Linked DNA regions of Drosophila melanogaster. Changing the gene in region 1 together with any one later gene gives a genetic interaction. Each region holds a gene or a part of one and is shown on either strand. Other genes may lie near its edges.

Evidence for each region. Genes that interact genetically often act in the same process or in processes that back each other up.
Region 2: of Ero1L (region 1) and Xbp1, changing one suppresses a phenotype caused by changing the other (phenotypic suppression), as found in Drosophila melanogaster (one study listed by BioGRID).

The regions. Positions count from the first base shown.
Region 1 is NT_037436.4:4,168,745-4,174,321, forward strand, and holds Ero1L (endoplasmic reticulum oxidoreductin-1-like), read left to right. Parts: upstream 1-1,659; 5' UTR 1,660-1,907; coding exon 1,908-2,048; intron 2,049-2,469; coding exon 2,470-2,733; intron 2,734-3,480; coding exon 3,481-4,166; intron 4,167-4,223; coding exon 4,224-4,532; intron 4,533-4,593; coding exon 4,594-4,645; 3' UTR 4,646-5,045; downstream 5,046-5,577. Other genes in the region: CG18675 (uncharacterized protein), read left to right, coding at 5,209-5,577. UniProt on the Drosophila melanogaster protein: Oxidoreductase involved in disulfide bond formation in the endoplasmic reticulum. Efficiently reoxidizes pdi-1, the enzyme catalyzing protein disulfide formation, in order to allow pdi-1 to sustain additional rounds of disulfide formation.
Region 2 is NT_033778.4:21,142,013-21,146,263, forward strand, and holds Xbp1 (X box binding protein-1), read left to right. Parts: upstream 1-1,536; 5' UTR 1,537-1,864; coding exon 1,865-2,124; intron 2,125-2,188; coding exon 2,189-2,852; coding exon of another isoform or gene 2,853-3,448; 3' UTR 3,449-3,738; downstream 3,739-4,251. Other genes in the region: CG9406 (uncharacterized protein), read left to right, coding at 463-475, 534-771, 824-1,034, 1,087-1,185.

The sequences.
Region 1 (5,577 bases):
GTATGCAAATCGCTCGCCCGAGTCCGCGATGATTCCTTTTCAATTCGAACAATGCCGAGGGTCGCCGCCCTGTCCTTTGGCCACACATGTTTGCGTCTGCGTTTTTTCTGCATTAATCGTCCTATTTGGAAAAAAAAATGATTAAACCCTTTCGTTCGGTACATTTTTTTCGAAGATTTTTCCCCGTTTTTTTCGAGGTTCATCTTTTTTTTTTTTTTGCTTAAGTCATCCCGTTGTTGTAATTTCACTTTTCCGTGAGAACTTTTGATGGGTTCTGATGGAAATAGGATGCTCAGGTGGGACACAAAAGAAGTTTTTTTTTTTGGGAGCAAAAAAATAGTTTTATTTCGAATAAAACCGGAATAAAGAAAAAGAAACGTGAGAGTTTTGGTGTTCACATTAACGTATAATAATTTTAATGTAATGTTTTAAATAATCTACATGCTTAAAATTGATAAATTAGTTAAGTTAGTTAGGTATTGTAACTAATTTGATTTTTTTTTAAAATTAAGTAGCTTCTTTGTTACATTCTAAGATGTAACTAAATTAAAATGATAGACCCCATCCTGTTGCGGTTGGTATCTACTTTCCAAACGACCTAAGGCGATTTATGTTCGAATAATCGAGGTGCCTGCATCGTCGTGCCCAGCATCCTAAGCAATTCACCCCCCGGCGTGATGAACGATGATGGTCTTGGGCTCGAAAGGATTCGATCCAAGATCTGACCGAGTTTTCTCAATTTGCATATCGAGGGTCGCGAGCTCCTTTGAGGGGTGCTATCGTCGGGGCAAGGGTTTGTCATGGGAACAAAAGACGCATTCATTGCCGAAGAATAGCCGAAATCAATATTTGAGGTAATTAATTAACTGCATCAATATTGGAGACGAGGAAATCCATAACGATATTCACATTTACCAATCAATTGATTGACGATTGAATGTTATCTTGAATTTTATCGCTAGAAGTCATTTGGAAAGTTATTACGCTCATATTTCATATTTTAATTAAATATCGTTAACCGAATTTTTTAACTATCAGAAATGAACTGGTTTTCATCAAAAAGTTATTTTTTTATACTTTGTTAAATAAATTGTTGAATAAAGTGGTTTACCTCGATTTCATCATTTTTATATCTGATCTTGAAAAATTTTACATTATTTAATTTTAAATCAAGCTCACTCTCAATTTTTTGTTATTAAATATTCTCATTCTGCTAATTCAAATCGAGCGGTTTTATTTCTGTTCTCCATAACGCGATCTGGCAACCTCTTCCCTTAAAATGTTTCATCCCTGGGAAGAGGGTTGCCTCTGCTTCAAAAAAATGGCGCGAAATTTCAACATATCGTAAATTCAATATAACAAATATCTGATGGGCAAATTTTTAACAGATTATTTTTAAAATCTTTTTTTTATATATTTACGGTCAATTACATTTTGATTACTTATTTAACATTTAACCAAAACTTTTAGAAAAGAAATATAAAATTTTTAGAAATATTCGAATACTTCATTTGCGAATCGAAAAAAATTACTGAAATAAAATTATTTATATTAATGGGAAATATTGGCCATTTGAAAAGCACCTGCTGTGCTGAGTGACCGCACTTCGCTCGTCAAGTGTGGTATTTTTTAGTACGTTTCGGCGCTTAGCGCGTGCGGTCACACAAACGCCAGGTACGTGTCCAAAATCATGAATCGAAAGTAAATGAACAATGTTGCTGCTTCGAAACGCAAATGCTCGCTAAACTCGTGAAATTGGGATTCGGAATCGCAGGTGCGAAATCACACGGGTGGGGAAATCGGATTCAGATGCACTCCGTCGGCGAAGCGCAAAACAACTGAGCACGCAACAACAAAAACAGTGACAGCAACAGTCATAACAATAGCAACACTCACATCAAAACACAATGACAACACGCACGGTGCAGAGAAATCTGTGGGCCTCCGCTGCGGTGGTCCTAGTTCTGCTCCTGCTCTGGACGGACACCACTGGAGGCTATTTTGCAGCCATCGATGAGACGGAGACTAGCAAAAACTGCTTCTGCGAGGTGGGTTAATATTCGGATTATTGTACACAGTAACGGTAAAATTAATTGATGATTTAAGCCATTTAAAAATATGTTTTTCAAAAATATTAAGAAGTTGATTTCATCATCATTTGCTTATCCTTTAACGATCTCTACTTAGATCTTAAAAAAAGGCTTTTAAAATTGTATTTTAAACTGAAAAGTATGTAGTTGAAATACTGGAGATTAGTAAAAAAGAATTCGTGCTTATATTAGTTTTGCTTTAATTGCAGTGCAGAACGTACAGAATACTCAATTATTTATTTGTGATAATTAATTAATTACACTTGCTTCACTAATAATATTTGACCTAGTATATGTATAGTACTCAGCTAACTTGAGATCAAATTTTTGTATACCTACTATTGCCACCTCGACTGTATGATATTTATATTCTTCGCAGTTGGAGGGATCTATAAACGACTGCAGCTGCGATGTGGACACGGTGGATCACTTTAACAACATGAAAATCTATCCGCGATTGCAGAGTCTGCTGGTGAAGAACTTCTTCCGCTTCTACAAGGTGAACCTGCGGCAGGAGTGCCCCTTCTGGCCGGATGACAGTCGCTGTGCGATGCGCTTCTGCCAGGTGGAGAACTGCGAGGAGCAAGCGATTCCCCAGGGCATCAAGGACAAGGGAGAGCACAAGGAGAAGGCCGCGTTTAAAGTAAGATTCCGGGTATTTCCATCGCTATCGTCTACACTACGCCTCTTATCTTATTCAATCTTTTGCCAAAATCACCACTATCTACCCAATCACTCAATGGGCTTGCAGGTGATTTATTTTTATTCGAATGTCTGCGGCTCCACAAGAATGAACCGCATCGATAATCTTCAACTGAGCCTACACTGTTAATGATGTGGCCTTTGATTTTGTTTTGCAATGCTGACGTGGTCTTCACATCTCATCAAGCGTTTGCCCGCCCCTTTTTAATTGTCGATTAACTTATTAACTTATCTAAAATATTGATCACTCCTTAGCAGACTATACCATACAGTAAAATATTATAAACAAAAATTCTATACCCCAAAATGAGAATGAAAATCAATTATTGTTTTTAAAGATAACTCAAAAAAAAAAAAAAAAAAAGAAACAATGCAGTTCAATATACGTATGTATTTAACAGCAGAGGTTCTTATCTTCACAAACAAAAAACAATTGATACTCGTACATAGCAAAAAAAAAACAAAACCATATTATCTACCAGATACTTTATTAACGTATAGATAATTATTTATACCGATAATGCCGTTCAAGAATGTATTGATATATTTGTGAAAAGCTTTATCTGTTTCTTCAAAGATTACTTAACCATCAATGAAATAATGACTGACTTAAAACTTAAGCTTATTTGTTTGCACAACTGGCTCACTTCACCTTACTGACTTCCTCATCTGCATCTTGTATTTACAGTACACGCGCGAGGCGCAAGTTGGGGGCTCAGCGTGCTCGGATGGAGAGGATTTCGACAGCTCTCTGGGTTTCCTGGACACGAGCATAAGTGATCAGGCGCATCGGGAATTCGAACTGTGGGCGAAGCATGATGAGGCGGAAGAGGACTTTTGCATCGTGGACGATCATGAGGAGGGATCCCAGTATGTGGATCTGCTCCTAAATCCTGAGCGGTACACCGGCTATAAGGGCGAATCGGCACATCGCATCTGGAAGAGCATCTATCTGGAGAACTGCTTCGGTGGCAACAACGAGACGGCTAACAAGTTCTCTAACTACGTGCCTCATTTGGATTTGCGAAATGTGTGCTTGGAGCAGCGTGCCTTTTATCGCATTATTTCTGGCCTGCACTCTAGTATCAACATTCATCTGTGCTCCAAATACCTGCTGTCAGAGTCAAAGGACTTCTTAGATCCGCAGGGCATCTGGGGTCCCAACGTAAAGGAGTTTAAACGACGCTTTAGTCCAGAAACCACAAGCGGTGAAGGTCCGCACTGGCTGCGAAACCTCTACTTCATCTATCTGATAGAACTGCGCGCCTTGGCTAAGGCTGCTCCTTATCTGCGGCGAGAAGATTACTACACGGGCATCGCAGAGGAGGATGATGAGGTTAAACTAGCCATCAATGATATGTTGAGTGTCATAGAGTGAGTATAGGAATATTCTTTTTTCTTACAATGTTTCAATTTAGCTTCTTTTTGTAGAAATTTTCAATCCCACTTCGACGAGAACGCCCTCTTCAGTAATGGAATCGCTTCTATTAAGTTCAAGCACGACTATAAGGAAAAGTTCCGAAACATATCCCGCATCATGAGCTGCGTAGGCTGCGACAAGTGCAAACTGTGGGGGAAGCTGCAGACGCAGGGATTGGGTACTGCTTTAAAGATTCTCTACTCAGAGAAGCTCAATCTGGCCACGGAAAGCGGGTTGTGGGACAAGCCGCACATCGAAGCGGATCCCATCTTCAGGCTGTCGCGAACAGAGATTGTAGCTCTATTTAATGCGTTTGGCAGGTGCGTTTTAAATGATAAAATGGCATTTCTAAAATACTTACATCTATACACTTGCTTGCAGACTATCCAACAGTATATACGAGATGGAGAATTTCCGGTGCGTGCTGAGGTAACCCATCCAGACTGGACTAACCGAGCGACGAGCCGGATCTCATTCGCCTCACATGAGCAGCTAGTTAATTCATACGCACATCGCTGGGGCTGCGTCTTGGACTTCCTACTGAATGCGGTTTCCCTCCCATAGTTCGTAACATTTTTGAGGCCAGAGGCTAGTAACCCCAGGATAGCTGCTTCCCTGTACATACAAACTATTACCCTAGGCTACTTGTACTTTAGCGCACCGTATCACCCTAAAAAAAACCAAATGACAAAAAAATAACCCATGCAGGATGCAGGTGTTTATTGTAAGTTAGCATAGTATTTATTGTATCTGGAGGAGTTTGTGAGCGGAACTTAATGAGCAAGTAAACGCATTGTGCAATACCAAGACCTTACGACACAAGGCGCTAAAATAAACTTCTGTCTGTTTTGAAACACCCTCTCTAACGTCTCCATCGATACGGGTCCTAGCAACCGAGTTGTTTGCCATTCCAGCTGTCGGCTTTTGTGACATTAGCAAATTGCTATCCAGTCGATCGACACTTGATTGCTCTTGTGACTATATTTTCTGTGCGAAATGGTGCTTCTTCAGGTGAAACGCGGAGACGAGCTTATCTTCCTCTATGAGACAAGCGTTAAGGAGAAGACTGATACTGTGCTTCGCGAGCTTGTGGCTCTGCACAATGGTCAACTGAAGATTCAGCGTGTCTGCATGGAGATTGAGGAGCTGGCCGAACATGGCACCATGGTGCCGCCTGAAATGATTGGCCTCAACGAGGAACAGAGGGAAGAGCTCAAGCTTAAGGATGTCTGGGCGGATAAGTGCATCCCGTCTGGTGGTTTCACTATCAACAAGGATCCGCTCCTTCGCCGTAACGGACAGCAGCCAACTGAGGCGATGCAAAAGGTCCTGGCAGGTGCCATGAACGACGCCAAGGCTATGGTG
Region 2 (4,251 bases), on another chromosome or scaffold:
AAACGACGCACACAGATGCAAATGCTCAGCGACAACAAGCAAATGCAGTCTATTTCGTCCTTTAAAAGGCACTGGAAAGTCTCGAACTTCACTGTTTGGGTAACATGAAATCTTTAGCTAAACGATTGTCTCAACTTTAATTGCAAATTAATGGGAAACAAATTAAAAACACGAAACGAAAAACAAAACAGAAAACAAAATAACGCGACGCTCAACACGACTGCTTCGCAGGCAGTTATCGACTGATGCTTATCGGTCGATATTCACCACACCTAGTATGACCACAGGGGCGATACCCTTTGCTTGGCGCCATTATCGATTTCCGATCGTTATTTTCAAATTCGAAATATAAACAGCAAACCTTTAATAATGCTTCAATCAGAAAACATATAAATCAGGAAAAAATAAATCGTATTTTAAAATTATCAGTTTATTTATTAAATTCTAAAGTATATACCCGCGATGGAAGTTGGTGGTAGGCATTACATAAAATGAGCATCGCACCTCCGCTTGATATCACTAACCTTTTGTAGTTACCCTAAACAACGAACTCGAGGAAAAGATTTCGGAAGCATTTTGCATATTTGATACTCATGGCGATAAGTATATTGATTCCCGCAATGTCGGCAACGTGCTCCGATTTTTAGGTTGCGCGCCCACCGAAAAAGAGGTCGAAGATGTCATTAAAGCCACCGATTCCGTCGACTATCCAGGCGAAGCCCATTTGGTGAAGTTCATGGAACACGTTTCCAAACTGCTGATGGATCGACAGTTATTCAATATACTTTAGGTTTGTTTAGCAACTAACGATATTTGTCCACAGAATGGAACCAGCCTCGTCGGAAAAGCTTCTCGAGGCCTTTGAGACCCTGGATCCAGAAAATAAAAAATATCTGACCAAGGAGTACTTCGGCAAATTAATGGCGGAGGAAGGAGAACCTTTCTCCGCTGAAGAATTGGATGCTATGTGGCCTGTGGCAATTGATCCCATTACTGGACACATTCCCTACACCTTCTACATAAATCAACTCAGGGTAAGATCGCATTTCCCAACTACTTTTGATTGGATTCATCTAAAATTTCCAGCACAAGCCTGATATCTATGAAATTGCCGAGGTTATCAAGGAGGAACTAGCACAAGCCGAAAAAGAAAAGGGCAAGAAACCACAACAACCACTGTTTTAGATGCCCCTTTAATCAAGCAATTGCAAATAACGCGGAAAATAAATTTATACATTTTATAACAAATAATTTCCTTTCTCGTTTTTACTGTTCCACATTGAGATATAGACGGTCACACTGCCATGCGCAATTCGAGATGGCATAGTCGTTGTTCTATGTTTGGATATTAAAATGAATTGTGTGAAAAATTTAAGGAACTATTTTTTGTTTTAAGATATTGCCTGAAATGTTACAATATATTTATTAAATCCAATAAAAAAAAATTTACAATACATTTAAGCGCTTTTACAAATCATCGTTGCTCTAAATTAACTGAATTTGTAATCGATAGCCCGATACGTGCTGCTCCATCCCTCATTACCCCAACTCTTCTAGAAAAACACGTCAGCTTTTCACAGCCATTCGGAAAAGAACACGTCAGCAGAAAGGAAAACTGGTCGGTCGATATTGCAAAGGTGGATGAGAAAATTGCGTGAGACGGAGCCAGAAAAGCCCGAGTCGGCGGCGATGAAGAGATTCAAACCAGCAGAGCGTCCGAGAAGCGCAGTCGAAGTTCATGAGACGACCTAAAACAAGCAAAAGTTAAAATACGCTCTTACAATGCAAATCTAAGTGGAAAGTCGCTTTTCACAATTGCACACAGCACACAGCAGTTTATCATTTAGCCCCGAACCAGTTAAACATGGCACCCACAGCAAACACAGTGCTAATTACCGTGCCGCGGACAGCAATCACATCGAATAATCTGCCCAAATTGCGGCCCGCCCCCCTTACGGCAGCTCTGCTGAAGGTGTCGGCCACGCCCTCCGCCTCGCCCACGCCCTCGAGTTCGGGATACGCATCCTCGTCGAACATGGATGACGATAACATGGCTGCATCCCAGCCCAAGGCCAAGAAGCGTCGCCTGGACCATCTAACCTGGGAGGAGAAAGTGCAAAGAAAGTAAGTCCACCCAACTTTTAACCAAATTTGAGCGCCTTATTTAACTGTTATTATCGAACAACAGGAAGCTAAAGAACCGTGTGGCCGCCCAGACATCGCGTGACCGCAAGAAGGCACGCATGGAGGAGATGGACTACGAGATCAAGGAGCTGACAGACAGAACGGAAATACTACAGAACAAGTGCGATAGCCTGCAGGCCATCAACGAGTCACTGCTGGCCAAGAACCACAAGCTGGACTCGGAGCTGGAGCTGCTGCGCCAAGAACTCGCCGAACTGAAGCAGCAACAGCAGCACAACACCAGATGCATCAGCCAATCCAACGCCAGCGCAGGCGCTGAGGGCTGTGCGTCCACCAACCTTGGATCTGCAGCATCCAAAGCTGACCCTCTGCCGCAGGGTATACAACAGGTGGACACACAGTCGTCAGCGCGTCTGCTGGCGGAGCAGCTGAAGAGCAGCAAGAGCCTGGCCTCACTCTGGAAAGTTGTGGCCCTCTGCCTACTCTACAAGACATGCTTGGCGTCGACGAAGAGTTCGACGTCAAGCGCCTCGAAGAGCTGGCCGAAAGTCTGCTCGCAGATATCACAGCAGACCTGGAAACAGGCGCTGGAGCGAGCAGCCCAGCTGCTGCCCAAGATGCAGGCAACGCAGAGCGATTGCCTGGACCAATGGTGGGGCCCGCAGCAGAGCGCTTGGAATCCGACGGGCATAGAGCTAATGGCCTGAATGTTGAGCAGGAACAGGAAACCGAGCACAAGGTCAGCCTAAATGTGCAGATGTTGAAGATAAATGGAAACCCACAGCATACCACAGCAGCGCCAGCCTCGAGAACAGCCACAATCACAGCGACAGCGGCCGCCTCGCAACTACAGGCCACTCCGGACACAGTGTACGGCACGTATGATGCCAAGACGAACTCGATCACCATCGTGATGGACGGGGATGCGGTGCCGGTGAACGAGGCCGTCGAGGAGATCTACTGTGACGGCGTCAGCGCTGGCGACGACTCAACGGACGTGATCATGAAGTGTCCGCCGCCAGCGACGTCTCCGTCACAGGTCTATCTCAACGTGATGAACGCCGTCGACAATTCGGACGACGAGGAAAGCTTCGATCCGATCGACCGATTCCTACGTCCGCGCGTTAAGGCGATCTCCCCGTTGGCCAAATCCCCCGCATTGTCTCTACACTCGGCCACCTCGGACCATGGATACGAGTCCATACTGGGCTCTCCCACATCCGTGGCTCTCACTCTGCCCGCAGATGAGGACGATTTCCCCTGGGAGAGCAACTTTGACGAGCTGTTTCCCAGTTTGATCTGAGTTTTTCAAGCTGAAAACTTCGTTCTGTCTCTCTTTTATTGTTAAGTTTGGCCGGCCGCCGTTTGTTTAAGTTTTTTAGTTGATAGGCTGTACATAAATTCATAATCGAAGGCTTTATATATGATACTGTAGTTAGAGCGCTAAGTTTAGCTGTAGGTTTCCATTTATATTTAACAATCTCTAACCACATAGGCTTATGATTACTCTTATATGTATGTATTGTGCTCAAAGAATTTGAAAAAAAAACATTTGACTAAAAAATATTCAAAATATAAACCAAACCAAACAACAAGCTCTTTGTTTTTGTTTACTCTAGGCGAAACAGAACTTTGAACTGCGTATGATAAATAGTTAATCACGCCACTTCTCTAGCATCACGCCACTTTTTTATGACGCAATTTCTGCGTAGATGATGGGACAGTTTTAGGTGTAAGCATATGAGTCATTTTGTTTTTATTAACCAAATATATATATATTACAAAAAGTGAGTTGAACTGACTGCAGATAATGCGGATAGGTGAAATAAAACCACAACTATGCTCTGAAATATATGCACCTTATTTATTAGTATATTATTCATTAATAAGACGAAATACAGCTCTGTTTTTCTCCAAACTGAACTAGGATTTAAACAAGATTTTGCTAAGCTCGAAAAATATATTTTTTAAAGAATATAAATAGAGCCACCCTAATGCGCCAGCAAAAGCGAATTTGTTTCGGAACTAGTTCGAAAAAGTTGTTTATAGACTTGAACCAGTTTTTGCTTACGAACCACATACCTGTGATTTTGCAGAAAGATAAAC